Linked DNA regions of Struthio camelus. The protein of the gene in region 1 binds, or shares a complex with, the protein of each later gene. Links are inferred from orthologs where the notes say so. Each region holds a gene or a part of one and is shown in the gene's direction. Other genes may lie near its edges. The genes, in order: CACNB2, STAC3, CACNG1 and CACNA1S.

Region 1 (7,468 bases):
CGAGCCTTCCTGTGCATTAAGAGCATTTTTGCCAGTGTTTGTATCTGGTGCGTATATTTCATCTTGTTGAAAACTCGCTCCTCCCAATCCCCCCCCCCAGTGGAATATATCATAATGATATCAATCAAGGGTTTGCTGCATCTCACCTCCATCCTGCAGAATAAAGCAGGCATGCTACAATAAACACAAGTTGAAAGGACAGATCAGTTCATTAAATCCAGCCAGCCTGTGCTGTGTTCAGGTCTGATACAGAGTGGTAATAGATTCCTAAGTGAGCTTGTCTAGATATTAGCTGCATGTTTCTGTTTGGACTTGTCTTGTGAATGATAAAATATAAAAATAAGGGGAATCTCTTTAGCTTTCACTTTATCAACCAGACTGCAATTAATCACTGGAGAAGAAAGTGTACTCTTTTCCAAGACCTGAAACCCAGGTAACTGAGTGTATTCTTGTTTTTCGTTGATAATGAACATATCAGCTACAAAGCATTTCAAGCAGAAGGTGGCACAGAGTATTAGGTGGCCAGCATTTCTTTTTAACTGATCTTCCTAATGAATTTCTTCTATCAGGGCTTTAAGCATATGCTCAATCACGAGTATTTTAGCAGTTTTGCAGCAATCATTGTAAGCTCACATGCTTATATTAATGCAAGTGTTTAATTTTTAGCTTTACTTTCACAAATATCAGTCCAATATCCTAGGCCTATTTTTGCATGCTCAGGTCATGGTCATAGACTAAATCAATCCTGCACTGACTCTGCGTGTGTGCGCTAGAACACCGTGCTGGACATAGACATTCCTGTATTTGGGGTAAGGCAATTAAGCATGCAATGCAATACAGTGCTCCTCGCTCTAGAAGAATATCTAATCTCTCAAACAACAAAAAAGCAATTTTGGCACCCAAACAGCCTATCTTCTCTGTCAGCCTAAGGGTTTTTTAGTTTTTGTTTGTTTTTATTTTTTGTTTGGAAAAAAGAGCTTATCTTTCTTTATGTCAGTCCTCTAACATTTACATGTTTGGAAAAGTCCAAATAAGCATGCACAGCACTTCTCCGTTGCAGATAAAAGTGTAAAAAATGCAGCACAGTGGTTTTCTGCTGAGAAGTGGTTAGGCAGAGCAGGTTGTTTTCCCCTTGAGAAAGAACCAGTAATTTGGAATCTGTGCATATTGTTTTTACACACTGACCTTTCTCCTGGAGTAGATGTGGCCAAAAACAGCATGCGGGGGGATGCCTGCATGTATACGTGTTCAGCTGAAGGATTTCGCACTGCACAGTTCAAGGTTTTAGAACTCTGCCCAACTGCTAAACCCAAGGAGTAGAACAGAGTAAGATACTTAAAATTATTTGCCTAGATAAATGTCCTAGCCACTCATTATATCAAAGCAATGAATAATAATTGTTGCTAAAGAAAAGCCAGGTAGCATATTTTTGATCAAGAATGAAAATAAAATAAACTTAGAAATCTGTAGGTGATTTGAGTGTTTGAGGATTTTTGTTTTTTAGGGGAAAACTATAAACCACAGTTCTCTATATGTAACTAGGGATTTCTATAGGCAGTGAGCTTCCTCTTGTTCATTTGTGCCTTAAAAGCTTCTTTCCTGGTTCCCTGCTTTCTAAAGCCCCTGTATGTGGGTATATAAACAAGCAAAATCACTACCTTTCTTTTTTTTATAGAGGAAAGAAAAGAAGAAAAAGTAATCAGAATGGATATAGGACTTAGCGAAGGAAAAATGAATTTCATCTGATATATTCAAGCTCTTAATTTATGAGAGAGTAGAAATATCCTTTCAACACACATGCACAATTCATGGTTTCAGAGCCTGTAATGCTCCAAAATGATCTCTACTACTCTTAAGGAAGAATAGAATACTTAAAAAGAAAAAAATCTAATGTTAGTTATATATTCCCTACACAACGAAAAAATCAGAAGGCAGTATGAAGGACCACTGTTACATGAATAAATAGCTACCAGTCTTTTCTAATTCTCTCCTATGTGTGAGATAGCATAGACAGCCTTTGAAGGATGCCTTAAAACCTGCCAAATCAAGACTATACTGAATCATGGTGGAAGACAATATGCCAAGATCAGGGAATCTTCCCTGGAGAATGTCTTAGAATAAAAGAACAAATAGTTCCACAGATATTAAGGTGTTGGAAGTCAAAGCTAACCTCTTTGAATGCTCCTCACCCCCTACCCCCTTAGCAATCTTAAAAGAAACAGGAATGTTGTGTTAAGGTCTGTTGTGAAACCTCACTTACGCATTAAACTTCCTTAATTATTATGATGGTCACAAACAGTAACTCCATTAAAACGATCTAATCTGGAAGTGACAAAGATATAAATAACTACTTCAAGGCCTGCATTAGAGGGCACAGGATGTATTCTTCCCCTCAACCATGTAAGGAGAAAATGCGTTTTTAATTACAATCATTAAGAGAACATTTGGAAGCATTCCAAGATATAGTATCCAGTTTGAAGGTTCTTTAGCATCTCTACTGAACTATTTTAAGGAAATGGAAGCATGTAAAATAACATTCTTTTTGCTTAAATTAAGGTTCTCTTGTGCCGTAGACAACAACTTGGGTAAAATTCTAGAAATGATTTTTGAAGAATAACATGACAACTTTTCAAAATAAAAAAAAGTTGAGTTTTTTGGACAAGTGAAAGTTCTCAAGCTTCTTCAAACCTCAGAGCACATCTGCTTGCAGGGAAAGCCAATTCCTTCCAAAAAGCAGAAAGTTTCTGCAGGACATGTTCACCATTCATATGGACCATGTGGTAATTCCATAGGGCTAAGCTAATTAAGTGAGAACATTCAGCAGCCATTATGAAAAACTGGAGGTAAATCAAGCACGCAATCAGGAGAAAAGTTGAAAGCATTTCTTGAAGCTGAACTGGCTTTTCTGTTTTTGGTTTGTTGTCTCTACGTTGTCTCCTTTTTCTATATGCAACTATTGTGCTCCTGTTAGTTTTTGTTGTGACTGGAAGTATGCAGACATATCTGGCTGCCCAGAGTTTATGCAGCGATTTGTCGTTCTTCGTAACATGAAGTGATAAAAGATCTCACAAACAATCACAAAGTGATCTGGAAAACACAAGTTTCTCTCCCTTGTTGTCTACAGCATCGCTAGGTCCAATCTGAAGAGGACAACAAGAGGTAACAAGTCTATCTCTATAAAATCTAGTCTGACTACAAATCTTGGTCCATCGAGTGCTTATGCGGTCAGAGGCTGTAGGCTGTATCATGCCAGGTGAGCGTTGCTTCTGAGAAATGAACGGTAGATCTTCTCAGGGGTGGGGGCTGTTTTTCCTGGGTCAGGATTTGAACAGACCTTTCAAAAGTCTCCTGTGGGGTACATGATAACCGGATTAAAATTGTGCTGCTGCAGGTTTTATAAATATAGATAGTAGGCTTTATCTCACCTGCTAGCTAGGAATTACTCAGCCCTGCCTCATGTGCCTACGGGACTCTCCAAGAAGTACCGGAAGAAACCGTATCAATTGGACAGAGCTTCCCGTCTGAAAAGCGCCGATTTGTTCCCTAACAGCAAACGTATCCCGCGCCTGCCTTCGGCTTCGACACGAGCTGAGACACGCGACGTCCTGGCTAGGGACCGGGAGCGCCCACCTGTGCGGGGCGGCCGGGGCAGCGGCACGTCCCCTCGGCTCTCCCCGCCGCAGCCGGCCGGGGCGGCGCCGCTCCGGCGGGGCCCCGCGCCCGGGCCGAGCCGGCGGGCAGCGGCAGCCGCGCGCCCCTCCGCCCCTGCCGCTGCCTCGCTGCCTCGCTCGAGGGCAATGCTAGCTGTAAATAGCAACTTCTCTGACGGCAGGCGGGGAGCGGGCTCGCTCCCTCCGCCCCAGCCCCCCTTCCCGGCCGGGGCCCCGGCACCGCTCAGACCCCCCGACCCTCCCCTGCCCTTCGCGCACCGCCCCCTCCACCGAGCCCTCCGCGGGGCCGCCGCCGCCAGGCCCCGGCGCAGCTCCGCGCCCGCGGCCTGCGCCCAGCCCTCGCCCTGCCCGCGGCGCAGCGGCCGCGCAGCCCCCGCCCGGCCGGCGAGGGAGGGAGGGAGGCGCCGCCCCGCGCCCGCCGCCCGGTGCCTCGGGGCGGGGGGGGGGGCGATGCTCGCTGTCACTTTCCCTCTTCCCCACGCGCCGCCCCCTGCCCTCCCCCTGCGCCCGGCGGCGGCGGCGGCGCCCCGTCCCCCGGCGCTGCGCGCTCCCCGCCGGCAGCAGGCAGGGCCGAGCCGAGCCGAGCCGCGCCGCCGCCGCCGCCGCCGCCGCCGCCGCCGCCGCCGCCGCCGCCGCCCGCGCTCCGTCCCCGCCGCCGCCGCCGCCGCCGCCGCCCGCGCTCCGTCCCCGCCGCCCGCATGGCCGGGCGCTGAGGGGCGCCGCCGCCCCGGCCCGGCCCGGCCCGCCCGGCGCTGCCCGCCCAGGGCCCGGCGCCAGAGCTGCCCCGCGCTCGTCTCCGATGGTCCAGAGCGACATGTCCAAATCGCCTCCCGCCGCGGCGCAGGAGGTGCAGATGGAGCTGCTGGACAACCCCCTGCCCGCAGCGGCGGCGGCGCAGGTACCGCGGCGGCGGCGGACCCCGCGGCCGGGCCGGGCCCCGGGCGGCGGCGGGCGGCGGGCGGCGGGCAGCGGGGCCGGGGCAGGGGCGGGGGCGGGGGCCGGCGGCGGCGCTCGGCCGGGCCGGGCGGGCTTGGCGGGGGTGCAGCGGCCCGGGGGTGCCTGAGCTGCCGCCGGAGCAAATGGGGAAGGGAGCGACCGGGCTGCCAGAGCTGTCTGTCCTTCCACTTCAGCTCCCCGCCGTCAGAAAAGTTTGACAGCTCTTCTGGAGAGCCCGACCGTTTAATTACCGCACACAGTGGGGTGCTCTGTGCCACAGGGGCTTTGCAGAGCGAGTAGCCTTTCAGTTACCCAGGGCGTACCTAGATAAGAAAGCGTTGCTGTTGAGGCGCTCGCTCCTCCGTGCATTTGTTGCGGGCTGCGGTTATTTTTCCCTCCCCCGGTAACCTGCTGTGTCCGGCCGTGATGCTCCCCGCGCTCTGCTGCGCCCTGCTCACCTGTTGCACGGGCAGGAGCCTGGCGGAGAGGGGCAGGCCGTGCGCGCCGGTCGCGGCACCGCGCTTTGCGGAGGGTGCCGGTGCCCGGTGCCCTGCGGAGCCCAGCTGCGGCAGCACCGGGCAAAGGGTGCTGTGAGAGTCCTCTGAAATTGTACCAGCTCGGGCCGTGTGCGCTGCATGCGGGCTGGACGTACGGAGGGTGACAGGGAGTAGGTGGTAGCAGGCTTGGTGAAGACTTTATATTTTGAAAGATGGATCCTGTTTAATATATGAATGTTGCATAATATCTCCGAGTTTGCAATAGTTGGCTACACAGACTTAGGGAGCTATTTTTAAACCCGGTAAAAGGGTGGTAAAATATGATTGTGTGCGTTTTAAATTACAAACATACTTGTTCTTGTTAGGACAGAGATTTGGATTTTTTTTCCTTTCGGGGTGGCAGTTTTATTGCTGCTGCCAAAGCTATCTCTAATCCTCTATTTTCTTTGGAGAAAGTGGTCTGGTTTCATCACAGAAGTGCTTGATTGCCACAGGAAAACGGTGTCAGTCTGTCAAAAGACTCGCTAATTGATCTTTACTTACTGAGGATTGCGAAGAGCGGAACAAAATTCAGGCACTGAAATGGAGACTAGGTTAAGTTAAAAAGAAAAAGTATCTCTTTGGATGTGAATTTGTCTGCAGTTTCTAAGTGTGGAGCAGACCTTTCAGTAGGGCCATTTGCTTTGCCAACTTCTCCAGAGACAGCGGCGGTGGAACTAATTTCTGACCTGCAAATACCTCCTTTCTTGTCTCTTTTCAGCCCTAAGAACAGAATGGGCAACTGTGAAATCATATGGTGCCTCTCTGCTGTGGCGAAATGTCAAATAGCGATCATAAAGTTGAATCTCACCCCTCCTTTTAACTAGATAAAGACTCTCTCTCTAGAGGGGAAGGATAGTTGCTAATTCTTGCACTTTTTATGTTTCAGGTAAGGTACTTATATTCTGTTCTATTTAATTGGTTTCTGAATGCCTACACCAAAAAAGGACCACTTCTCAAGACAGTGATAATGCAGCTTTTCGGTTCAGGGAATAATTTTCAGTTTTCTAAACCAAAGTCAAGTTAGGCAAAACAAGAATCTCATCTTCTGCGTATGTATATGTTCCAGTCATACATAAACCTTGGATGTGGAAGAAGTAAGATTATGGAAACAAAAGATCCCTTTATCTGAATAATAATATTCAGTTAATTCCTTTGTATGTAGTGCATTGAAAGACAATTATTCTGATCTGAGTTTTTGCTCCATTAACGTGATTTCTAAAAAATCAATATTGTAAAATCTTGCTGCTTTAGAGTGTACTCACAGTGAGAAAGAGAAGCTTAATGTGAATATGTGAATCATCAAGTAGATAGCCTACAGGTACTTCAGTTAGGCCCACCATTATCTTTTTCACTAAGGTGCTTGAGTATTGATCCTAGAAACATTTCATGCCAAGTAGCGCATCAGAAAAAAAAAGGAAAAACAAAAACATGCGAGTTTACGGAGTGATATCACTCCTAAAAGTACTCTCTCTGAAGTGCTACTTCTGGGAATTATGATTTAGTGAAATATAACTGAAGAGCCTTCGTATACTTGTAACAAGCTTGAAGATTTCTCTTCTCCAAGAATTTTACTTTTGCAAAGCAGAGAGTTTCTTTTAATCTGGCTGTGCACCATGGTCAATATATTGGCTCGTACCCTTCCATAGATTTTGGCCAAACTTGTCCAGGCTTGGCAGAGGAGTGAATATATTTAACAATCTTTAAGAGTAATTACTTCCACAGTGTTAATTATGTGAACAGTTCTTAGATAGCCTCTGTGTAAACTCTAGTCCTTATTTTTGTAACCTGTTTTGCTAACAAGACGTGCAAAGGGAATAAAATCCCTGTAGGCGTTGATCCTGACAATTATACTGTCCTCTCCCCGAGGAGTTCCTTGACACAGAGGCAAGGTATCTATGCGTGTTTCTGTCTTACCTAATATACTGAGGCTCTTACCTCCATGCTACTGTAAAAAGCATAAGTACTCATTTTGATCCTAGTCCAGGCAGGGTTGTGGTAAACTTTGAGATGTCCAGTCTTATCCAGATGTATGCGCATGTTACTTGTTACACTGTGGAGTCATTCACAGTGTTGATGTGTAAGTCAATGCAAAGTAGTCGTTGTAGGTGTGACTCTTTTGTAATAAACTCAGCATTTGATTTTCAGAACTCATGAAGCGTGCAAGCTATTGAAATGCTTCGGAGTGATTTAAGATCAGTAGCTGTTTTTCTGAATCAACTCCATTTCCCTTTTTAGCTCTTTATTTCAGGAACTTCTCAAATCTACAAATTTTAATCAGAATACTCAATTTAATTATTTTAAATAACTCAGATGCTATGCTCA
Region 2 (7,315 bases), on another chromosome or scaffold:
GCAGGTGATGGGCGCTACTCGTTGCTGGGCCAGCCGCTGCAATATAATCTGTCTATCTGTCCCCCGCCCCTGCTCCACAACCAGCCTAACTACAGTGCACACCAGGTAAGGTTGGGCCAGACCCCCACCCCTCTCTTCCTGTCCTGGGAGCAGACCAAGACCCCCAGAGCACCCCTCTCTGGGCAGAGCCCAGGGCTGAGCAGGGTAGTTCAGAAGTGAGCCTGACATCCCACCTTGCGCTCGGGTGCCCCTGGATTGGGTAGCAGGTTGCCTGCCCCATGCTGTTACCAGCCATACAGCAGGGCTGCCATCATAAACAGTTTTCCCTGGAGCCTGACACTGTGCTGAAATTTCACCCTGCTCCCAGCTTTGCCCAGGAGCGATGTCAGCCCCAGGTCCTTTGAGTGTCCTGGAACCATGCCTGTGCCCTGGTCTCATCCAACCTCCCCAAGCCACCATGGCATCATCCCAAAAGTGCCGGGAGTGCAAGGATCATCCAATGTCTCCATTCCCCTTCACAGCTGTGGCCTCATCATGTTTGGTCTTGTCTGCCCCTCCCAGGATGCTCTGTCGGCACTGTGACGCCACAGTGTCCCCTCAGGTGACATGTTACCATTTTTACTCTTTAAGGGACAGACTGGAATGAAACATGGAAATCGGGGCAAGAGACAAGCCCTCAAGTCGGCATCCACTGATCTTGGGACAAGTGATGTAGGCAAGTGATCCTCCTCCAGCAGCTCCCCCATTGCCCTCCGCCAAGTCCCTGCTGCACAGGTGCAGCTGGCACTGGCAGAGACTCCGGTCCCCTCTCTGCTCACACTGACATCCCCCAGGATCCATTGCTGGGGGTGGTTGTGGAGGACCGTTCCTGCCCTCTGCCCCGCTCCCCCGAAATACCCCCGGAGCCCATGCAAGGCCTGGCTGGGGGGGTGGGCGCAGAGCCAGTCCTGGTGAGCTGTACCCCGTGGGAGGGCAGCTGAGGAACCCGGTTAGATGCTGCCTGCACTGACCAAAGCTTTTGAGGAAGAGTGGGGAGATATTTCTGGGGAGTCAGTGATGAGCACCAGGACACCTGGGCCCTATTCCTACCTCTGTGAGGCCTGAAGTCTGGCAGGGTGTGGAGCAGGTGGGGCTGGCAGGCAGAACTCCTGGCAGCTTTTCCTAGTTGTCAGCAGAAAGCGACTGTCCAGGCCCATGAGATCTTATTCCTACCGTTGACTTCCTAAGTGACCCTTCTCTTTCATGCCTCAGTTTCCCAGTGGGGGTAGGTGTTGCACAGTCCCCATATTTGTGGGGCTTTGGGATCTTCCATGGGCAGCTGCCGGGCTGAAATCCCCAGTGGATTGTTTCTCTCCAAGGAGGAAGGACTCCCCCTGTTCCTCTCCTCAGGGCAGGAGTCTCCTCTTGCTCGTGTCAGGGAGGGGAGGAGAGGCACAGGACTGGCTATTCCCCGCAGCAAATGCAGGACCCGCTAATTGGGCATGAGCCCGACAGGCTGGAAGAGAGACAGTCTTCCTTGGCTCTCTGGAGGCTTCAGAGTTGTTGTCTCCCATGTCACCTCTGTGTCACCACCACCAACGGCAGCTGTTTGCAGGGGGCCCTTTAAGAGTTGCTTCCCGGCGAGCTGGCCCCCTCCCTGCCACAGGGAAGCAGCTGGCATGTTTGTTACATGCCGTGTTAATATTAGCAAAGAATCCGTTTAGCCAGGCCTCTGCTAAGCCCCAAAGCTGGAGTGAAGCCCCAAAGAGCTGGAGCCAGGAGGCAGCAGGGGTGTTTGGGTACCACAGAGCAGAGGCACAGAGGTTGACGTGACACTGGCCTGGGCGCAGGAAGGGATCCTCCTCGTGACAAAGCACACAGGGAAAGGTCACATTCAGCGTGCAACTGCCATCCCTGGGGTAGCCTGCCTGGGGGCAGAGGGCAGCAGTGCTGGGTTAGGTCCCCTCCTGGTACCCAGGATTAGGATAAGAAAGCAGGAGAGAGCACCCGGGAAAGCCCTAACTGGAAAGCCAAGCCCAATCAAAGGGATCAAGGAGGGCTTGGTGCTGCTAGAGCCTTGGGCAAACAGAAAATATCTGTCTCCTCTTGAAGCGGGGCACATGGGGACCAGGGTGGGAGTATCAGAAATGATTGGGACAGGCACTGTAGGGACCAGGAAGATGGGGGCAGTTTGAAGGGGAAGAAGTGACTAATTAGAAGAAATATCCCTGATGTGGGACCAGCTTAGCAAAGCTCTGCTTTCATGGGCCAAGTAGAGATGACTGCTCCCATCCCAGAGCTGGTGAGGAAACCGGACATCAGCTCCCACCATGCTGTCACCACCCGAGGTCCTGTGGCCAACACATGCTATCTTTCCACTGCAGTTCTTGGCCGAGTGCTGGAGGTGACGGACCTGCCCGAGGGCATCACGCGGACAGAGGCTGACAAGCTCTTTACCCAGCTCGCCATGGCTGGTGCCAAAATCCAGTGGCTCAAAGAGACTCAGGGGCGGCGTGGAGATGGGGGCGGTGGGGACAACAACGGGACTCCAGAGAACGGCAGGCACACTGACCTTGCTGCCTTATACACCATTGTGGCCGTGTTCCCCAGCCCGCTGGCCGCCCAGAACGCCTCCCTCCGCCTCAACAACTCCCTCAGCCGCTTCAAGCTGCGTGTGGCCAAAAAGAACTACGACTTGCGGGTGCTGGAGCGTGCCAGCTCGCAGTAGGGCTCATGTATGGGCACAGAGCACACTGGACTGCGGGCGCTTCCCTCTGCCTTCTCTCTTCCTTTCTGCCCTCCCTTCCTCTCACCCTCCTTCCTGGATATATTTATATGGACATAATTAAGAGACAAGAAATTGATTTTTTTTTTTAATTTTTGGAGTGATGCCCATGCCCGCCCACCCTACCCTGTGTATATTGTTTTGTTAAGCACTGTGTTGAACCGCACATACAGGTGTTGATTGGTATGTTCACTGCACATTTTATTTAATCTGATTATTATTTGGGGTTTTTTTTTTGTTTTTGTTTTATTTGAGGGGGGGGTGTTTTTAAATATAAAAAGAAAACTTGTCCGTCACTTTAATGCTGCTTTCCCGTTCTCTGCTGGCGCCAGCGCTCGGTGCAGGCTGGCAGCAGGGCCTGTCCTGTCCCCTTCCTCAGGGTGAGATGGCAGTCAGGGCATACACAGGAGTGCGTCCCGGCACGGGGCCTGCTCCACCCCAGCATACGCAGAGGGTGCGTCCTCGTTGCTCTGCGGAGGCTGGGAGAGGAGCACGGAGCATTTTGAGCTGGGGCTGGTCACCCTTCAGATGTTCATAGCCTCTTCTTCCCAGCTGCCGGCCCCGGGCTGCCTGCGATGGCAAGGAGGGTATGCCCCCAGCTACGTTCCCTGCCAGGGTGAACACATTTCTCCTGGGTGAAGGGGAGCTGCCCTTGAGCTGCTAGGTGTCCTCCTACCGCAGGGGTACAGGAGTTGGGCTGGCACCAGCCTCGCCATGGCGTTGCATGCGGCAGCCCTTGGAGCTTCCTGCGGTGTCCAGAGCCAACCTTGGAGCATGGGTGCAGGGGGAGAGGTAAGAGCTGCTTGGAGGGTGTGGGGGGCCTTGGTGCAAACCCTGCCCCTCTGCCACCCACAGCCAGGCAGGGACATAGCTCCAGGGGCTCTGGCACTGGGGGCCCACCCAGCTCCTGGGATCCAGCCCCTGCTGCGGGGCAGCACAGTAGGGGTCGGGTCCCCAGCTCGCTCCTCAGTGGCTGCTTCCTGTGGGGCAGCGGTGAGCGTTGAGCTGGTGAGCGTTGAGCGCGGGACCCTTGGCGGCACCTCTTCCTTCCCGCCTGCAGTGGCCTCCAATGCGAGGGCAAACAGGACAGCAAGGCTGGAGCGCTCAGCATGCCCCCGCGCTGCTGCTGCCCCATGCCAGGGGTGGGAGGGTCGCTGTGACGCCCAGCAACCCACTAACGCAAATAGCCAGCAGCTCCTCTCCACCCCGCTCCCCTCCCGGCTCGCGCACGGGCTCCAATTTCTCGGTGTCAGCCTCCGCCAGCGCTCAGCTGTCGGTTCCCCTCTGGCCTGTCACTCGGGTGCTCCGCAGCGCTGGGCAGCTGCCCCCTCCCTGCACACCCGGCCCTGGGGCTGGGGGCTCTGTGGCCCAAGGGGCCTCGGCGCCAGCCCCCCGGCAGCAAGCCCGCCACCAGCTTTGCGCGGTGTTTCATCACGGGACGCAAGCTCTGAACGTGGTGTAAGTGCAAAGCGCGGCTCCGCGTGTGGCTCCCCTTACCCAGCAGCCACTGACCCTGCTGGGCCCCTGCGCCACTGCTGGACCCCGGACCCCCCAGACCTCCCTGCCGAGCCTGTGGCCCCAGGAGTCCCCAGCCCCCCCCCCCCGCTGTCTCCTGCATGCTTGTCCTGTCGCTTTCCAGGGAGGACGGGGGTCTTGTGTTAACGGTAGCACCAAAAATAGTGACGCCTGGGTGGAAGGGCTCTGAGGATGGTCGACAGACAAAGGTGGCGTCAGGTGGGTTTTGGGGGTGCAGGAGCAGATCTGCTCCCTTGGTAGCACTGGGTTTCCATGGAAGAAAAGGCAGGGCTGTGCCCTGGTGCCAGACAGCGCCATGGGTACTCTTGTTCTGGCCAGCCAAGTGTGGCACCATTTGCCGTTTAATCTCGAGACGGAGGTGTCTGGGCAGAGACGGGCACATGCAGGTAGCTCAGGGGCTGCTGGCAGCCACATCCGCGAAGCAGCAGGGACGGTGAGGAGCAGCGCTGTGGTGCTGGGCCGGGAGCAGAGCCCACCACGTGCACAGCCCCTGCAGCAGGGCTGGGCAGCCTCCTGAGGGGCCAAGCCCGGCAGCCCCCCGGCAGTGGTCTGGGCCGGTGCTGGGGCAGGGCAGCAGGGAGCTGGGTGCAAGTAGGGCAGAGGGAGGCACTGGCCCGGGAACTGCTTTCCATCCAGCCAGGTCTGATCCCCGGGGGCTGCCGAGGCCACAGGCCGCTGCTGCCCTGGCTGAGGCTCTGCAGTGGGGGCAGCCCCAGTCGAGACGATGTCTTTGTCTTCCCCTTGTAGCATGACAGAGAAGGAGGTGCCAGAGCCACCAGCTTCATCTGCCTCAGGTGGGAAACCCAAGAGCCGGGTAAGTGGATGCCTGCAGATCAGCTTGGGTGAGAGGGGGAATCCACCTTCCCCACATGGTCTCTGCCTCAGGCCCAGGACCCTCTGTGGGGCCAGGGGTGCCCTGGTGGTATCTGCTTGAGTGGAGCACTATATGGGCATTGCCCAGCCTAGCTTTGCCCCAAGGTGCCTACATCCATGTGGTGCCCAGGACTTGCAACCTGCCCCTTGTGGGGGGACCCCACTAGGCAGAGAGAGGGTCCCTGTGCCCACCACACTGCACCCAGGACATCTGGGTTCTCCCCCCACCTGGTGAGGGAGGTTGTAGGTCAGAGCAAAGGGGCTGGGAGCTGGGCACCGGCTCCTTCCTGTTTTCCTCGCCCCCTGCGCCTGCAGTGCGCCCTGCAGCCTCTCCTGCTCCAGCAGCTGCAGAAGCTGAAGCAACTTTTCCGGCGAAAGCCCAAGGAGGAGACGGCACCGGAGCCACAGCCGAATGGGGAGCTGGTCAGCCCCTCCGGGAGGCCCATCTACTACATCTATGAGGACGAGGAGGAGGAAGAGGAGGAGGAGCCCGAGCCTCCTCCCGAGCCCCAGAAACTTGTCAATGACAAACCCCACAAGTTCAAGGATCATTACTTCAAAAAGCCCAAGTTCTGTGACGTTTGTGCCCGCATGATTGTCCGTGAGTCGCGGGGGCACTGGGCTTGGGGCCACAGGCTGGGGGCCAGGGCTGGGCCAGGGCTCCAGCCCTGCCACGCCTGCAGCCCTGGGGTCACATCATCTCTCTCCCCCCCCTCCACCCACCAGTCAACAACAAATTTGGCCTGAGGTGCAAGAACTGCAAAACCAATATTCACCACCACTGCCAGTCCTACGTGGAGATGCAACGCTGCTTTGGCAAAATCGTGAGTGCTCATGCCGGTGCGGTCCCGGCCCTGTGGGAAGGACCCGGGGGCAGCACCACCAGCTGGGCATCTGCCCTCCAGGTCCTTCGCGCCCACCCATTGCCCCCTTAGCTCGCCAGTGGCAGGCTGTGCTCTGACCCCCTCCTCCTCCTCCTTGCAGCCACCAGGCTTTCGCCGAGCATACAGCTCGCCCCTGTATAGCGACCAGCAGTATGCCTGCGTCAAGGAGCTGCTCTGTAAGTACTGACTTCATGCCTGGGGCGGGCGGTGGGGGGAATCTCCCCACACCCCCTCACTGAGCCCCTCTCACTCCATCTGTGCCCCAGCAGCAGCCAACAGGAGCGACCCAGTGTTTGAGACCCTCCGGACGGGCGTCATCATGGCCAACAAAGAGCGCAAGAAAGGGCAAGACGACAAGAAAAACGTGAGTGCAGGGTGGGCCTGTTACTCTGAGCCGGCCTGGGCGCCTGCCCACCCCTCAGCCCCTGACTGCTCTCTGCCTTGCAGCCGCTGGCAGCTATGATGGATGAGGAACCCGAGGCCATGAAGGCAGCTGGGGGCAAAAGCGAGGGCGGTGAGTGCTGCGAGCAGGCAGGGCTGGGGCTGCAGGGCTGTGCTCCCCCCGAGGGTGCGGGACGGGGAGCCCACTGGGGTGGGCTTCACCCCGAAGAGGGGCCCTAAGTCCAGGTCTCGCCCCAGGGCTCTCTGCAGGCACGGGAGGTCCCCAAGGGCAGGCTGGTGCTGCGGTGGGGAAGAGCAGCACAAGAGAGGTGACCCTTTTTCTCCTGTTTTCAGGCACCTCCGAAGGGGACAAGAAGGCGGAGAAGAGCACAGCAGATGACAAGGTAGCCCTCTTCCTCACCCCGTACCCAACGGTGCCCGGGCTACCCCCGGCCCCCCAGCCTCTGAGCCCCTCTCTCCTGCCCCCCAGAACAAGAAGCCACAGCAGGGGATGCGCAGCGGCTATCTGCAGTCTCACTACTTCGTGGCGCTTTATCGCTTCAAAGCCCTGGAGAAAGACGACCTGGATTTCCCGTGAGTTCCCAGCCAGGACGGGGGCGTGCGCTGGGGAGGGGGGTAAGTCTTCACCTCAGCAAGGCCCTCGGGCCCAGAGGGTGCTGTGAACGAACAAGGGCAGAAATCAGCAGTGCTGGCTGCGGTTTGGGGTTTGTGGCTTTTCTGCCCCGATTAGCCGTGCAGAGACAACGAGCCCTGGCTCTGGCCGAGCCACCTTCCTCCCCAGCTTCCAGCCTTTGTGCACAAACCGCATTTCCGAGGCTACTGCTGTTTTACGTGGCACTGCCGATTTCTTGCACCC
Region 3 (8,167 bases), on another chromosome or scaffold:
CTCCGCTGAGGAGGATGTGGCATTTCCTTGGGAATGAGAAAAATAGTCAACATAGGAGGAGGTGCTGAACCTAAAAGGGAACGAAGAGTGCTCTGCACCTGTCTGTGAAACAGCTCATCTTACAGCAGCGGTCAGTTTGCTTCACCAGAATTAAAGAGACCACTTACCAAATAAGCGGGCCAAGAAAGGCTCTTCATTATTTTAGGAGAACGAACCTGCAGCTAAAACGTTCAGGCAGATAGAAGTAGTCAGTCCTAAAGAAGTATTGCCAGCACTGTGTTCAGAAGGGCTGCAGAGCTGGTGCCAAGAAAAGCCCTCGTTAGGTTGAACGGGTGTATCTGCCCCTGGTTATCCGAAGGAGTCTATTAAAAGAAAAATACACACACGCGGGGGCCCACCACAGCAGTGTGAGGTAGGCTAGGAAGCTTGACTATTGCTAAGGAGATCCCATTTTAAGTAGGCTGCTTGTATGGCTGATTTGCTGAAAATACATGTAAGCTGAGAGCAGACCAGGCCCAATCTTTGCCGCTCTAAATAGCCCTGAAATTTGGAGAGGTTTAGATTCAAATTTTGCGGCGCAGGCCCTCTCTAAATCTGCACTAAAGTAGTTTAAAAACATAGAAATATCACATAAAGAAAATAAGACAAGTGCCCTGGATTCAGCAGACTGTGGGGGGCTTTCCCTGCACGGCGCTGCATTAGCTATTCTCTTTCACATCCCCACACATGCTCAGTATGAATTTCCCTTCGTGTCAGCAAGGGACACAACAGACATTTGAAGACACAAGTCTAGCGACTTACTTGCTGCAGTATGTCAGCCTAGAGAAATGACAGCCCCTGCCAAAATGGATTATTCTTCATTTTAATGCATAAAAATAATTACTTCAGAGGCCTGTGCAAATATATAAAGCCAAAGAGATTGGCCCCCACAAATCCCTCTAATCAGGGGTGGTTTGTACTTACCTGATAATGGTCTTTCACATAGTTCTGCAAGAAAGGAACCGCAGAATTCGATTAACCTGGTTGTGGTAAATACTGGGTCTGTTCTGGAAGAAATATAGGAAAGCACAAATTTTGGGGAACAGACCCAAGCCAACGACTCTGCTAGGGACAAAAGAATGCCATAGCTGATCTTGAAACATTTAGCATTTTCTGCAGGAGAGAAACACAACCAAACACAACCATGTCTCTCACACTCACTGCTGCTAAAGTGCAACTAATTATAACCCTCCCTGCTTCCCAACAGGTCCTCATTAATACACTGTTTATATTTCATGGGATATTGATTTTTAAATGTAGCTCCTTGCCAGCTGAAGCAGGGAGCCTGCTGGAACCGTTCAAGAGAGGACTATATACGGCAGTCTTCTAGATCCGCAGGCAGGTTTTGGAGTCTTCTGCTCCTCTGGAAGTCAGTTGTGCTTCTGCATTTGTTAGACACTCACCCAGCCACGGAGCGGACAGTAGAGGCCACCAGGCCCCCTAGGGAGGCCAGTTAAACCTCCAAGGTGGGATAAAAGTTCCATGTAGATTTGGGAAAGGGGCTAAACCTTTTGGAGACAAGGCAAGTCTTTCAGAGCCCACACAGCACATTCTGAAGCCAAGCGGCTTCACCGAATCCCTGCCAGCTGTCCCCAAACACACCCTGAGGCTCTGGCACAAAGAGCAGAAAGCAGCACCTGAGTAGCGTGGGTACGTCTGCTCTTCTAACACATGGAACACTATCCCCACAAAGCATTTTCTCTCTCAGGACCACTGGCTCCAGCTTATGTTTTTAGGCCAGGGACAATGACTCACCTTAGCCTAGGTGACTTTTCAGCCTCCAGGGAAGCCTCTACATCTTGCACTGAAGTTCATCCAAGCTTTAGCTTGTTCACAGTCTCGGGTCCTCTCTGCAGAGGAGAGAGAGGGAAGGATGACTTTTCTCTTTATCTTTTTGCTTTAGTGTTTTCCTGGTTATTATTAGAAAAATAAGAACAAAACAAAACTGGGGGGAACTTATCCAGATTGTAGTACTTGAATGAGAATAGAAGACGTGATTCTTGCCAACACTGGAGGAGACACAAAAACCAGCAGTAACAAAAAAATTAATGAGTTCCCACCCTTTCAGTCCTTACAGCTTGTAATTAGTCTAAAGTGTGATCATTAGCAGCTGCTTTCTCAGCAACCAAAAACTTGGTTGCAGTTGCTTTCTCAGCAACCAAAAGCTTGCTTTGTGCCCGCACTTGAAAACATGCATTTCCCATGCTCAACTTGCTGAGGACCTGCGGAGTTTCTAGTGTCAAGGAAGTAAAGTCAAGATGCAACTCAAAATCGACTGATGTCTAGTGAAATTTAGCAAGAGTCTACTTTAAAAGAGAAGACATTACATTTTTAATGCATTCTTTTTCTGTTTTAAAGTCTGTTCCCTTTAGGCTTTTCTGCTTTCATGAGAACTCTTGGCTCTGGGTAAGAAAACAGAAATGTAAGTCTCCATAATATTTCTCTATGTGTGACATGATTGCAGTGGAGAGGTCTCTACTTGGTTGGACAGTCCTAACTTGCATCTTCCCCCCTTAGCAACAAGACAGAACGGGCTTTGCAGAACAGCCTCTTGGTCAGGTCCTTCTGAGGGCACATTTTAGTGCTCCAGTCTTGGATCTGCCTCTTTGCAAAAATAGAGAAATCAGTCTCTGTTACTCTTAGCATAAAATTTCCTTGCAAACTGATATAAACGACTCGCTCTATTCAGCGCCTTTCTCAGCGGAGCTGTAAGCAGGTGTTGTTTGGGACTGTTGTGCCTTCACCCTGATTGAGTCACGCTGTGCTCTGCCATGGGCTGAATGAGGGCCCGCAGCCAACCTACGCTGGCTATTTCCATGCTCATGGGTCCGGTTTCTGCACAGACTTTTTAAATATTTGGGAGTCCTAAATATGAGAATCCTTTCTGAATTGTGTGGCTGCCAAATTGTACATTTGTTCTCAAGACCTCTTCAGCTGCTTCAATTTGATCCCCTTTTATACTTGATATTCAAGGGTGGGGCGGTTTCTAACCTTTTTCGAAGACCAGCTCTGGAGAGATTTCCAAAAAGCAAACTCCGTTGGGGAACAACTCTTCAGGGAAGAGGTCACAGACTCGATTCAGACTATTTGACTCACTCCAACCATGGTGCGAAAGGGGCTCATACCCTGGCTTGTGCTGGTTTCTGCTAGCTCCTGAAACCCTATGAACATCGCAAGGGCTCTCTGATGGTTTGAAGCCCAAACCCTGCACATGGCACTCCCTGAAGGAGGATATGAGCTCTCAGAGCAGCATCGAGCCAGGGCAGAGCTTCTGGACAGCGTGGTTTCACTTCTCTACAGCTCGCTGGTCGCCGTCCGCGGCAGTGGAGCAATCCGCGCTAGTGGGCTGCAAACCAGCTTCCAACCCTTTTTCCCCCAGCTTAGCGCTTTCGATCAGCGAGTCTAAAGCACTCTGCTGACGTTTTACCAACCGCCGCGTGGTGAGCCAGCTTCCTTTGGACGTGCCGCTGCCCCCAGGTCCCCGGCCCCGCTCCTTGTCTCCTTCCCCTCCTGCCTGGTGGGTTTTCCCTTCGCTTCTTCCTGCGGCCATCACTGACAGGCAGATAATTCTTTTAAATCCTATTTCAGCTACAGTTATTTTGGATCATTATTTTTCTAACTCACTATTTTCTTTCCATTGCCCGCAGCTCCCTTCTGCCTTTAGTTCATTGCTTCAAACTGTCCTCCTTAATTCGAGACGACACCGCCGTACCTTTTATCTTGACACTGAACCGGGGTGTTCATGAAACAGCGCTGGAGTAGCTCTGCCATTATCTTGACACGATAACATGATATTTGCAGATTTCCGCTGACATTTTTCAAGCCATCGTCTTGACGTTCAGGTGCTGTCGCCGTCACCGGTTCGACATCGCAAGGGTAATGTCACCCCCACAGCGGCCTCGGCGTTGGCGTTATCAGGAAATTACTTTCCTGATCAGCTTAAAACATCAAAGGCAAGGAGAGAGGCCGGGGACATCGAGGCTTCGGGGCAGGGGAGTCGCTGCTCGGAGAAGGGGGGGTCTGCGGGCAGCGCCGCGAGGGCCGGGCGCTGGCGTGCGGTGCGCCTCGCGCCGGAGACGACGCAGAACGCCAGGGCTGGACAGAGAGGAGCCGACATCGGCCACAGAGGGCAGTTTGAAGGAGCCAGCGATACCAGTTACGATGAGCACCGAGGCAAACCCCGGCTGGTGGGAAACGAAGAAAGCGCTCCGGAAGGTTTAGGATGAGAAAAATGATTCAAAAGGCGCAAAAAAACAGGTGTGAGAAAAGCAATTTAGTGATTACGCCTTTTTCTTTCGGAAGAACCGGAGTGAGCTGTGAAAGCAAATCAACTTCACTCAGTAGTTCCCACTGTAAAACCAGAAAAAGGGTCGGCGGGGCAGGGGGGGAGAAACGCCAAACGGTTTTGTTCCAGCGGTCTCAAAGCACAAAGCGTCTCGCGCAAACTGATGAAATACGTACTTGCCGTACTTTATACATCGAACTTTGGGTATGACAAAATACAGCTCTCAAACCATCAGCGGCTTCAGAAGTGAACCAAACCGTTTTCCTTCGGCCTGAACAAGACATTTGGGTTAATTCAAAAAAATAAACGTTCTCGTTAAAAAGAAACCACCCCCCCCCCCAATTGCTTCAGCCACAGCCCGTTTATTTTCACCGCCCGCAACGGGGCTGGGGCGCTGCAGCGCCGTCCGGCTCGAAACTTCTCCTTACAAACGCTGACGCGAGCCCGAGGCGCGTTGTGGGCTTTGAGTCTACCCTCCCGCTATTTACAGTCAGGCCCAGCGCTATCACAAACCCACATGGGTGGTTTTTTTTTTCCCCCCCCCCTCTAACCTAGCCGAAAAAGTCAACCCTTCCCTTCATGCCTATTTCTGGGCAGGCTGCAAGACCGCAGTCCCCTCGCGGCGGCTCTAAGGCCGGCTCGCGGGCGACCGCCAGCCAAAGCCGAGCCCGCCGGCCGCAGCCGCGCGCCCCCCGCCGCTGACGCCTCCCAGCAGCTGCCCCGGCGGCCGCCGCGCCACCTGCTCGTCCCCCCCCCCCCAACCCCTCCTCCCCTCCAAACGCGGCAACGCTGACGTTTGAAGACGCTCGGACGCGCCGGGGGGGCGTCGGGAGATCAGCGGCCCGGCGGCTCCACGCCAGCGGGCCCGGCCAGAGGCCGGCTGGCTCGCGCCCGCCCGCCGCGCCGAGCAGCATGGACGAGAGCAAACCCCTGAAGATCCGGCTGACTTTCTCCGTCATCCTGGTCGGCGTCTCGCTCCTCTTCGCCGCCGTAGTGACTGACCACTGGGCCGTGCTGAGCCCCAAGGTGGAGGAGTACAACGCCACCTGCGAAGCGGCTCATTTCGGGCTATGGCGGCTCTGCACAAAGCGGATTTACGTGCAAGAGCGAGGCGCCGGGGAGAAGGGCTGCGGGCCCATAAGCCTGCCGGGAGGTACGTGACGGCGCTCGTTCCCCAGCCGCGCACAAACCGCACGAGAGAAAGCGTCAGCGGTGACTCCAGGCGGTGTTTAGGAGGTTACGGCACACGGCAGGAACAAAATACGGTGTCTCTTCCCCCCCCCACCCACCCCGGCTCTTAATCTGACAGGGCGCTGCACGCTGCTTCGCTTTCGTATCACCCTGCAAACGCCGCTCGCTCTCATTTCTCGTGCTGTGCATGTGCGCCGCCGCGTTGCCTTGCCCATGTATTTTTAACCATATTTTAAGCCGTCGGTCCCCTGCGCGGCAAAGGGAGCGGCGGGTAATCAGGGAAAAGGATCGGACACGGTGGAAATCACGGACTGGATGGAGGATATCGTGCCGACATCTGCCCAGGGTCCCACGGCACGCGGGCAAACCCACGCCACCTCCGACGAGCGTCGGCGGAGGGAGGATTTGCAGGACTGGGCCACCCTGTGTGGCTGAAGCAGGAGGGTTTCCTGCTTCAGCTGGCTATGAAGGAACAGCTTGTTCATGACAGTTATTAAGTTATCCACGGGCTATTTCAATAACAGTCATTGCTTGGGGCTGCGAGCAGGGCTGCGGTTTGCCAGCTTCCAAAAAAAGGCTGCAAACGGAGTTAGAAATGATTTGTCACTGCCTTCCTGAGCCTCCTTACCTTGCAGCGAAGGAAAGCCCGGGCTCTGCAGCTGAAAGCAGCCTAATCGGATGCATTTCTTCATTGCAAGGTATTCCACCGAAATCAATAGGAAGGGTGGCAGAGGAGCGATCCTAGCTGGTTTCCAGGAAGACCCTTACATTCCCGTGGTAAAAGGAGCTCGTTATATGTTTGCTGATTGCAAAGTCAGCAACATTCACGCAGCGTGTACTAATATACCCTAGCCGTGACTGAACTACGCTGCTTTTTGGGAAGGCTGATAGGGAACTGGCTTCTTTCCAGAACAGAAATAACAGGATTGCCTTCACGTTAGCCTCGCTGTTTGAAATGAAATATGTATGTTAACACATATTTGAAGAGTTCTTATGAAAATCTTGCTGCCTGTGTTTAGTGTATATTCTCTATGTTACTGCAATTCTTTATCTGTTTGGCAGAATTATTTATTCTGAAGCGAGGAGCTAGCCCGCAGCATTCAGATCTGCCTCTAGCCAAATTTGGGAGCGCGTGATCTGGAAACTTAACGTCTCTCGTGTAGGCGCTTACATATTCCTCGCTGTAGGCTTTGCTTTGCACGTGGACAAAAACTCACACAAAAGGAAAATAATAGAAATTGGTTGATAAATGCAAAATTGCACCAACTGCTGGATAAATATAAAACTCATAAATATCCAGCTGTCTCTGGAAAGCAGATTCACAGGCAGGGCAGCCCGAAAGGGGCTACTATCTTTGACAGACATCAGCATGTGCTTGCACAGACGTTGAATCATGTCCCCGCGCTGCCTTTCTAATGGGCGCAGTAAAGGAACGGGTAATTGTGGAGCTACCGAACCGAGCCCTCCACGGGCAGCTCGGCCACACCATGGGCAGCTTGTCCGGCTGGTGTGCTTTTGTGGTGTTGAAAGATAGTCTAGAATTTGGCTGAAGTCCTGGGTCAAAATAAGCTTCTGAGGTTTCCAGCAGCCTTCACCTTATGAATTACATCCTCACCTCTTATAAAATAAGAATTAAAGCCCTCATTTTACTTACACAGAGGACATGGCATGGTGAGGTGACCAAGAGCCCAGCCACCGAGGACGGCAGGCTGCTGCCACGCTGCCTTTGCAGGTCTCTCCTTAGGTTGATTTCCCAGTTTCGGAAAGATGTCAGCAGAGAATCACTGCGCTTGTGAAGCCTGCGAATGACCAAATGTGGCGTAAAAGAGCGCATAGGTGGAAATCAGTTTTCCTGAAAATCATGAGACATAATCAGACATTACTGCTGTCGGTGGAAAAGAAACATAAGAATTTATCACTGTATTAATAACCATTTACTAGTCACTCTTAGGAGGAAATGGATGGCACTATTAATATTATTTATTAGTTTTTGAGCTTAGCGCAGTGCAAAATGTGGAAGATGACTTGGCTCATAATCTACAAAACAGGCCTGTGATTTAAGCAAAGATGTTTAAAATTTAACAACACTCTTCAGAGGATGTTGACAAATTGGAAAAGGGTTTGGCATGCTGCTGTGAGGAATAAAAATATCAGGGAGGTGACAGTTAAAACTTGGCAGATTCAGATTAATGTAGGGACATTTTAAACTGTGATCGATGGACCATTGGAGCCATTTACTAAAAGGTGTGACAGAGACCTCTGTCACTGCCAACCTTTAACTCCAACATAGGTGTCATCCTAAAAAGCATGCTCTTGTGCAACTGCAAGTTGGGTAGCACGAGTGATGCTCTATAGCCTGTGTCTGCCACAAGCAGGTTAAATCATTCCTGTTAAATATATGCATCTGAATTCAGGCAGCTGGAGTCTGACAGGAAAATAACTAGAGCAAATGAGTTAACCAAAAGGGTGTCACATTCCCATCCGTACAAGAGACTCACCCTGCAAGACTACTATGAAGTTAAACTATTCGGAGCTACCATCTCCAAAACTCAATGATGTGTTTCAGAGCCCCTCCTCTGGCTTCCCCCAGCTTTGATAGCCAGGTGGAAACCCAGGGTCTAGCATCCACCATCACTTAGTCCTCACCTTAAC
Region 4 (7,744 bases), on another chromosome or scaffold:
ATAGAGAGCAGGAGGTCCCTGGGCCAGAAAACACAGGGCTGGCACTGAACAGCGCCGGCAAAACCTGTGTAGGGGGTAGGGTCCTCAAGGCATGGTCTCAGGGGAGAAAGGGCCCCACAGGCACAGTCTTGGGGGCAACAAGCCCTTCCGGCATGGTCCAGGGGTGGTGACTGCCCAGCAGGAACAGTTTTTTGGGGCAGCAGGGCCTTCCCAGCAAGGTCTAGAGAGGCAGCATGGCCAAGCTGGCATCGACAGCGGAGATGATGGGGTCCAACAGGCACGGTCCGGGGGAAGAACAGAGCCCCACAGGCACAATCTGGGTGGGGGGACAGGCCAACAGGCACCTTCTGGTGTGGGGAGGGGGAAGTTCAGCAGCAAGGTCTGGAATGGGAGGGGTGGCAGAGCCCTGCAGGCTTGCTCGGGGGAGGGACTCAGCCCAAGCACAATCTTGGGGGGACAGGGCCCATTAGGCTCCATCTGGGGGACACAGGGCCAGACTGGGGGTGGACAGGACCTCATAGACATGGTCAGAGTGGGGGGCACAGCCCAGCTAGCACAGTCTTGTGGGGACAGGGCCCCACAGGCTCGGTCTGCAGGGACAGGCCCCATCCCAAGGCCACTGTGCAGCCCAGGCCGGGCTGCGGAGCTGCCCCAGGGCTCGTGGGGCTGAGCTGCGCCCAGGACAAGCACAGGGCCCGTGGCGCTCAAGTGCTCTGCAGGCCCTGCGGTGGCAGGAACCCCAGCGGGAAGGGGCCGCCAGCTCAGGCTGGGCCCGCCCCCAGCTCCAGAGGGGGAGGGGGAGGGAGCAGGGCGGGGGCGCGGGCAGGGGCGGGGCCTGGGCCTGCCGCACCCCCCCCCCGCCTCCTGGCTGGCAGCGCAGCTCTTCTGGGGACCGGAGAGCCGGAGCCGGGGGGAGCTCTGGGCCCCACTCTCCCCAGTACGTGCCCCACGGCTCAGTTAGGGCAGAGTTGACTCAGCCCTGGCTGCAGGAGGGCATGTGCTGGAGGTCTGGGGCCGGGGCCTGCTCCATCCCCTTGTCCCCTGCCTGCCAGCCCTGGCTGGGCACCAGCAGGGGGATGTGAGGTGCCCCCGAGAGGCGGCCAGACCCGGGGGGAGGCTAGTGGCATGGCTCAGGCCCCTTCTTGCAGCGAAACAGCTGATTTGCTCTAACTGTTGGGAATGTCCCTCTAGAAGGAGTTAATCCCTTGCTGGGTTCTAGCCTGGCATGCCAGCCCCACTCCCTGGTCCTCAAGGGCCCCCAGCACATGGATAACATTGGAAGAGCTGCTGCAGGGACTCTGGCCACTGCTAAAGGTCCCCATGAGCTGCTGTGGCCTTGACTTTGGGTGTCACGTGCAGGAAGGAAAAGCCGTGGTTGTCCTGGAGAAGGACACACTCCCTGCCATAGTCTGGCCTTGTGCTCAGACAGCCCATAGGGTCTGTGACAGCTAGGTCTAGGTCCTACAGGAGCCAGGTGTCAAAGCAGGGAGGTACATTTTATTAGGCTGGGAAAAGGGGAAGCCTTTGGGAGCAGGGGGCACACACACATGTCTGTGCATGTCAGGAGATGTTTGCTTTCAAGGTCATATTGCTTGAGAATGGCTAGTGCAGGGACCATTTCTATCCCTTGCTCTTCAAGATAGTAGGGGAAAGCCTTTCTGATTTGGCAGGCCTGGGCCAATCTGGTTGCGCTCTGCCTCTGGGAGGCCGTATGTCTCTGCCCTGTGGAACACAGCTATTGCAAAGGGATTGGCTGCAGTGGTGGAGTGGCTCTACTGCAGTCCCTGCTCCCATGTTAACCCTTTCTCCTTCCAAGCTGAGTAGGGCTCTGTCATGGGCTTACTGTGTTTGGGACTACAGGCACTGACCCTTGCTAACGCCATGTCTTTGTGCAGGTGTGGTGAAGGAGTAGAAGATGAGCATGAAGCTTGTGAAAGATATGAGGAAGAAGAGCGAAGAGGTGAAGAAAACATGCTGGCCTTGGCCCCTAGCCTGTTGATGGAGGCCTCAGTTGCATGAGGAAGCAGCCTTCCCCTACGAGATACATAGGAATATATCCATTGAGTGGAGATCACAGAAAGAGTGATTTGCTACACAGCAAGTGAGAGAGGGATTGGAGCAGGAAAGCCCTGTCCTCAAGCTAGCATCTCCCCTCTGCTACCTCTGGCTGATTTGTAGAGGAAGGTAAGTGTAGTCCCTGCAGGTAACTATGCAGTGCTCCCCACCCTCTCCCAGTCCTTTTGTTATGTCTCAAAGCATGAGGGTTCAGCTTTCGTCTAACTCTGAAGTTAGTTTAATTAAGGTCACATGGGAGACACAAAAATGGTTGGCCTTGGCACCAGCTGTGCCATGCCTGGATGATGTGGAGGAGGATGAGCCCTGGCCTGCAGGGACCACTCTCTGGCAGTTTTTGTTAAAGCCATGTGAAGTCAGTGCTTGTCAGCACAGCCCCATGCAAAATACAGAGCACAGAAGGGCAGCAAGCAGTTCCCAACAGCTGCAGAGGGGTGTGTGGAAGAGAATAAATGAATCAGGTACATTAGAAGGGCACATTCCAGAGGTGTTTGAGCCCAACCTCCTGCTCAAAGTAGGTCTGGTTAGGTCAAGTTGCTCAGGGCTTTACCCAGTCTAGTTCAGATTATCTCCAAGGATGGAGATACAGAGTTCAAAAGTGAGTAGATCGTGAATGAAGGCTTCTGGAGGGGATCAGAGAGACCTTGAGTGTCCTTTCCAGGTCCTTGCTTGCAGCAGATCTCCCACCATGCTCTCATCCTCTGGGACAGCTGTTGCAGCATGAATCGAAAGGGAGATGTTTCTTCTCATCCCCTGCAGAGGCCTCTTGAGAAGGAACCAACAGTTTCCTAGCTCTAAGAACAGCCCTAGGGCAAGTTGGGGCAGACGCCATGCCAGGCAGCAGCGCCCACTGTCAGCGTTAGCATGCCAAGCACATGCTTGCAGCCTGCCCTCTGGCTCGCCACTAGGTGGACCCCAAATCCTTGTCGTTGATAGGGAGGACACAGTCCAGGAATGGGCGCTCCTGGCAGGGGCACAGGCAGAAGCAGAAATACAGCTCATGGCTTTCAGCAGTGCTTAGGAGGGAGGAACGAAGACCAGAGGAGAAACAGTGGCATGTTTGGACCTGCCACTGTGACACAGAAATGAGGCTGGAGCCCTGGGCAGGAATAAATTGACTCTGGCTATTTTTTTTGCATAAAATGCAGCAGAGTAGTGTAGGAGAGGGCGGGTTACTGATTTTGCACCTCTACAGTTGAGGCCTCCTCCCCTCCAGGAGTGTCAAAATGGGCTGGAGCAGCTGCAGGAGTTGCTCTCTTATGCTGTCTTCCTGCCATGGGCCACAAAGGAGGGAATGATTGTCTTCGCTTGGCACCGTGGCCCTCGGCACAGCCTGCTCTGCAGCTGGTGAAATGACCCTGCAAAACAGAGGCAAGGAAGCTTTGAGCAAGGCAGTGTGGTACAGTGGGCAGAGCTCCCCCTGGGACACGGGTTGACTTGGGCACAGCTGTCTGGTTACATTAGGCTGAAGCATCTCCATAGGACAGGGACAACATTTGCTGAGGGACATACCTGTAAGTAAGAAAATTTGTGTAACTATTCTGCTAACTCAGTCCCTGGATTGCAGGAAAACCCCAAGCACTGCCCTTCCTGGTGCCTCTGTTTCCCTTGTTGTGAAAAGGTAGTGAAAACCCCCTTCTGTCCCTATGTGCATTGACACCTCCAGCTTGGGAGTCCCCAGCATTGTCCGTATATCCAGTTGGGCTTTCTCAAGCCCAGCTGGATTTCCAAGACGTCCCTGGAGCAGGACACAGCCCACCCTAGGCTTATTGTATTCCTGCATGTCCCAGGCATGCCCCTTGCCCTACAAGCAGAATTGAAGAGATGAGGCTGACCAGGGGCTGTCTGAGGTGATGAGTGCCAGCCAAGGCATACTTTGGGCTAAGCATCACTCCCAGGAGCTCTGAGTTTGGGGTCAAAGTTCCTGTCTGTGAGACGTACCCATCCCCAGAGGTACCACAGCCCTGGGGTCACAGGGCCAAGGGCTCAAGAGACCAGGTTGCATCTGAGGGTCTCCACATGAAGGAGAAATCCTGCAGAGAGACAGGGCTGATCAGTTTGTGGGATGACCTTCCTTGAGGAAGTGTCCCACTGGCCAGAGTCAGGTTCTCCCTCTCACCCAAGAAGTGCAATTCAGCAGATGGGGCCACATGCGTTCCCCCAGCCAGCCCAGTCTCTCTACTTGGGCGTGGAAGGCCCAGGGAGTTGGGGAAAGAGGTGACCCGGGGTGAGGGCAATTTTCCTTGGGAGGGTGTGCACCTGACTCTGGGCAGCCCGTCCCCACCCCCCGCCTGGCTCGGTGGCATGCAAAGCACTCATCTGCCTTAGGATAAGCCGGGTAAAGAAGCAACAGCTGCTGGGGTCCTTTTGCTGCCTCGGGAACTGTGACAGCACCCGGGAGCCAGGCTAGTGTCTAATTTTAAACTCATGCTTTGTGCATTTGTGCATGCGTGTGCAGCCTCCAGCCCCCACTCCCCCATGACCTCCCCCGGTGCACAGAAGGGACAGGCTTAGCAGGAAGGAAGACCCAGAGGGTCTCTGGCTGGCCAGGATCTGGGGAAGGGGGACTTGGCTGTGAGGCAGGAAGAGGCAGCTAGGGGAGAAACACCATGGAGCCTGCATCTCCCCAAGATGATGCAAAGAAGAGGCAACAGAAGGAGAAGTCCAAGAAGCCAGTGCCACCAGCAGCCCCCCGGCCAGCCAGAGCTCTGTTCTGCTTAACCCTGCAAAACCCACTTCGGAAGGCATGCATCAGCATCGTGGAGTGGAAGTATCCTTTAGGCTTGGTGGGCTTGGTAGCGCCTGCATGTGCATGTCTGTGACCATGGGTGCTGAAGAGGAGTGCTTGCTGGAGCAGGACCCCTTGGGGCTGTTAGGCAGGCAAGTCCTCAGCACACTTTGAGTCTGTGAGTTGTCTCTGCTTATGCTATGGTGGTGCTGTTTGTGGTGGCTGTCTCATCAGGCCTGCGAGGGAGCAAGGAAAAGCAAGGAAGGGCTTGGGCAGCCCCAGCAGGGTGCACTGGCAGAAGTGACGGCTGTGCAACCTGGGGGCACGAATAGGCTAGTGGGAAAGATAGGGCTGAGGAGTGGACCATAGGGATCCTCAGCAGGGTGTTTTGGGGACAGGAGGGGACAGCCTGAGTGGCAAGGAATGTATGCATACCCATGTTTTGTGCTGGCTGTGGCTGGTAGGAGCTGCGCTGAGGATAAACAGGGGACAGTCTGCCAGAAGGGGAGAGTGATGGTGTCAGAGGAGGGGGCACGGGCCCTGTCCCAGAGCTGGGATGGGCCGGGCAGAAGAGGAGGGCCAGGATGGAGGAGCAGGTGCTGAGGATGCAGCTTGGGAGGACAGGCCAGCCTAAGGAAAGAGGGGCTTGGGAGATGGATACAGAGACCACGGTGAGCTGCTTGAGATGGCTGTGTGTGTGTGTCACCGCTTGCCCACTCCTGCAGCTACTCCCTGCCATGGCCGTGGGCAGCTAGCCAGCATCCTCTAAATCCCTGCCGACACCGTTACTGTCTCAATCTCCTTATCTCCTCCCTCTCCACCACTTTTGTCACACGTGAAGGCTTTCATGGGTGAAGCTGTTTAGAGAGATGGTATCTCTGTGTGCCCTTGGTTTAATTTACGGATGGGTTTGTGATGGTTGCTCTTTAGTTGGCCATGCTTTGACTGGGGTGTTTTAGCTTGGAAGTGGCAAAATGTCATGTTTCTGCCACCCATCCAGGAATAATTTTAGTCCATTAGACATGGCCTTGGTTGTTTAAAATACAGCTTGTATTTTGTGGAATAGGACATTTTTGCCTTAACGGGACAGGAAACATTTCACTTGGTTTCAACAAAACATTTGGGCTCAACTAACACTGATAGGATTTGGGGCATTTCCAGGAAATCCAGTCTTTCCATCCCAACTTTTCTTATTTCAGTTGCTGAATGCATCTAGGTGTTCCTGGCCTTGACGGGATTCTCCCAGTCTAGGGTCCTCTCCCCTCTAGGGCAGCTTGGGCAGCCCCACCCCACCAGAGCAAGCCTTCATCCTGTGCCTGGGGGCTGCAGAGCCAAGCCTTGCTAGTGGGAAACACTGCCTGCAGTGTGGTATATGTGGTGCTACAGGGGCACCAAAACCATGCGCCAGCACCACCACTGATGCTGTCCTGCTCAAAGCCCAGGCTGCCCATTTGCAGACATTGACAGCATGCTCACACCACCTGGCAATGCTTTTCAGGGCATGGAGTCTGAGCCCTCTTGTTCCTATGTGGCACAAAGAGGCTCTCTGACCTTTGCGGAGAGGCAGCAGAGCCAAAATTGGGGAATTCTCCATTTCTACTTCTCTTCAGCTGAAGAATGGGGTGTTTTGCACAGCACAGAGCTGTGTCTGTGTCTGGGTGCAGGGCATGGAAGGAACTTGTCTGTAGACCCTAATGGCAGGGGTAGAGCTGGAAATAATATATATATATATCTTCCAGCATACTCAAAAACATTTTTCCTGATGGGCCAACATATGCCAGAGCAACTGCAGAGCCCCACTGAGGGAGGCCTTTCCCACACTGGGGACGTGGGCAAGGGGCATGGAGGGAAGAGGTAGATGTTTCACCAGGAAGGCCACAGGTGCGGGTAGTCCTGACCTGTGGGAGATGGACGATTCTGGGCATCGGGTTTCAGCAGCACCACTCTTGTGCCTGGCTATATTTATATGCCAATGCACCTGCCTCCCCTCACTCAGGGATCAAGGTTTACAAGGCATGACGGGGTTGTTCCAGCTCCTGTGGGTTGTTATGAGCTTCATGGCCAGACCAATTGCCAAATGGATACTAGTGTGACCATTTTCTGTGGGGATACCTGGTGAATGGGATCAGGTTACACATCTCTGCTCTTTGGCCTCATCTCTACTGCATAATAACTGCACTGTCAGAGGCACAAAGCTGAGGCAAAGAGCTAGGACAGGGTCTTTTCAGGCAGCAGGAGAGTGCTGGTATTCCAGGTCATTTTGTAGTCAGGAGGACTTTTAAGGCAGATGGGTGAGTCTGGGGACCATGAGCAAGGCACTGAGTGCCTAATTCCCACTGTGAAGCTGAAGTTGGTTCCTTCGAATGCTGCATGGCAGGAGGCTGCTAGGGAGCAGAAGTGAGATTTGCAGGGCAAGGGGATGAGGAGGGTTTTGAGTCTCTGGACTCTATCAGAGACCCGCTTGCCTCAGTGACAGTACCTGACTCTTGGCTGGCTGAATTGTCCCACTGTGTATCTACCTAATAACAGTCCCAGGCTCATGGCCACTGGCAGGCAATGTGGGACTTGCCTACAGCAACCTGATAATAGAAGAGCACTGAGTCTCAACTTCACCTCTGATTGCAAGATAATTCTCCCTTCAAGGAGGAGGATGTGGCTGTTTTCACCAGAGCAGGGGAACAAGAAAAGGACTTCTGCAGTTTAGTGGCTGTTGGGGCAGGATGTGGGCCACGGTTCCTGCTCCTCTTTCCATTGCTTTCACCAACTTGCTCCATGATGCTGAACTGATCCCTACACTCTTGCATCCTCACAACCACATGGAAACTGAAATGAGTGCTGGCAAGGTGGACTGCTCATCTCACCCTGTCAGAGCAGGCAGGGAAATCTCTAGCCCTTGGGCTGTGCTCTGTTACCTGGGGCACAGAGGAGGGCAGCTTCTTCAGC

What was found.
Region 2: CACNB2 (region 1) and STAC3 share a complex: the UniProt entries of both Homo sapiens proteins name them as parts of the calcium channel complex. The link is inferred for Struthio camelus from reciprocal best matches to the Homo sapiens genes CACNB2 and STAC3.
Region 3: CACNB2 (region 1) and CACNG1 share a complex: the UniProt entries of both Homo sapiens proteins name them as parts of the calcium channel complex. The link is inferred for Struthio camelus from reciprocal best matches to the Homo sapiens genes CACNB2 and CACNG1.
Region 4: CACNB2 (region 1) and CACNA1S share a complex: the UniProt entries of both Homo sapiens proteins name them as parts of the calcium channel complex. The link is inferred for Struthio camelus from reciprocal best matches to the Homo sapiens genes CACNB2 and CACNA1S.

What each region holds. Positions count from the first base shown.
Region 1 is NC_090943.1:23,439,067-23,446,534, reverse strand, and holds the start of CACNB2 (voltage-dependent L-type calcium channel subunit beta-2), read left to right. Parts: upstream 1-4,451; 5' UTR 4,452-4,470; coding exon 4,471-4,569; intron 4,570-7,468. UniProt on the Homo sapiens protein: Beta subunit of voltage-dependent calcium channels which contributes to the function of the calcium channel by increasing peak calcium current. Plays a role in shifting voltage dependencies of activation and inactivation of the channel.
Region 2 is NC_090969.1:147,755-155,069, forward strand, and holds the start of STAC3 (SH3 and cysteine-rich domain-containing protein 3), read left to right. Parts: upstream 1-4,142; 5' UTR 4,143-4,222; intron 4,223-5,047; 5' UTR 5,048-5,048; coding exon 5,049-5,114; intron 5,115-5,518; coding exon 5,519-5,774; intron 5,775-5,899; coding exon 5,900-5,997; intron 5,998-6,157; coding exon 6,158-6,233; intron 6,234-6,326; coding exon 6,327-6,421; intron 6,422-6,504; coding exon 6,505-6,571; intron 6,572-6,792; coding exon 6,793-6,842; intron 6,843-6,928; coding exon 6,929-7,032; intron 7,033-7,315. Other genes in the region: R3HDM2 (R3H domain-containing protein 2), read left to right, coding at 5-105, 631-715, 2,364-2,707. UniProt on the Homo sapiens protein: Required for normal excitation-contraction coupling in skeletal muscle and for normal muscle contraction in response to membrane depolarization. Required for normal Ca(2+) release from the sarcplasmic reticulum, which ultimately leads to muscle contraction.
Region 3 is NC_090960.1:4,232,039-4,240,205, forward strand, and holds the start of CACNG1 (voltage-dependent calcium channel gamma-1 subunit), read left to right. Parts: upstream 1-4,967; 5' UTR 4,968-5,236; coding exon 5,237-5,477; intron 5,478-8,167. UniProt on the Homo sapiens protein: Regulatory subunit of the voltage-gated calcium channel that gives rise to L-type calcium currents in skeletal muscle. Regulates channel inactivation kinetics.
Region 4 is NC_090965.1:2,384,674-2,392,417, forward strand, and holds the start of CACNA1S (voltage-dependent L-type calcium channel subunit alpha-1S), read left to right. Parts: upstream 1-4,682; coding exon 4,683-4,843; intron 4,844-7,744. UniProt on the Homo sapiens protein: Pore-forming, alpha-1S subunit of the voltage-gated calcium channel that gives rise to L-type calcium currents in skeletal muscle.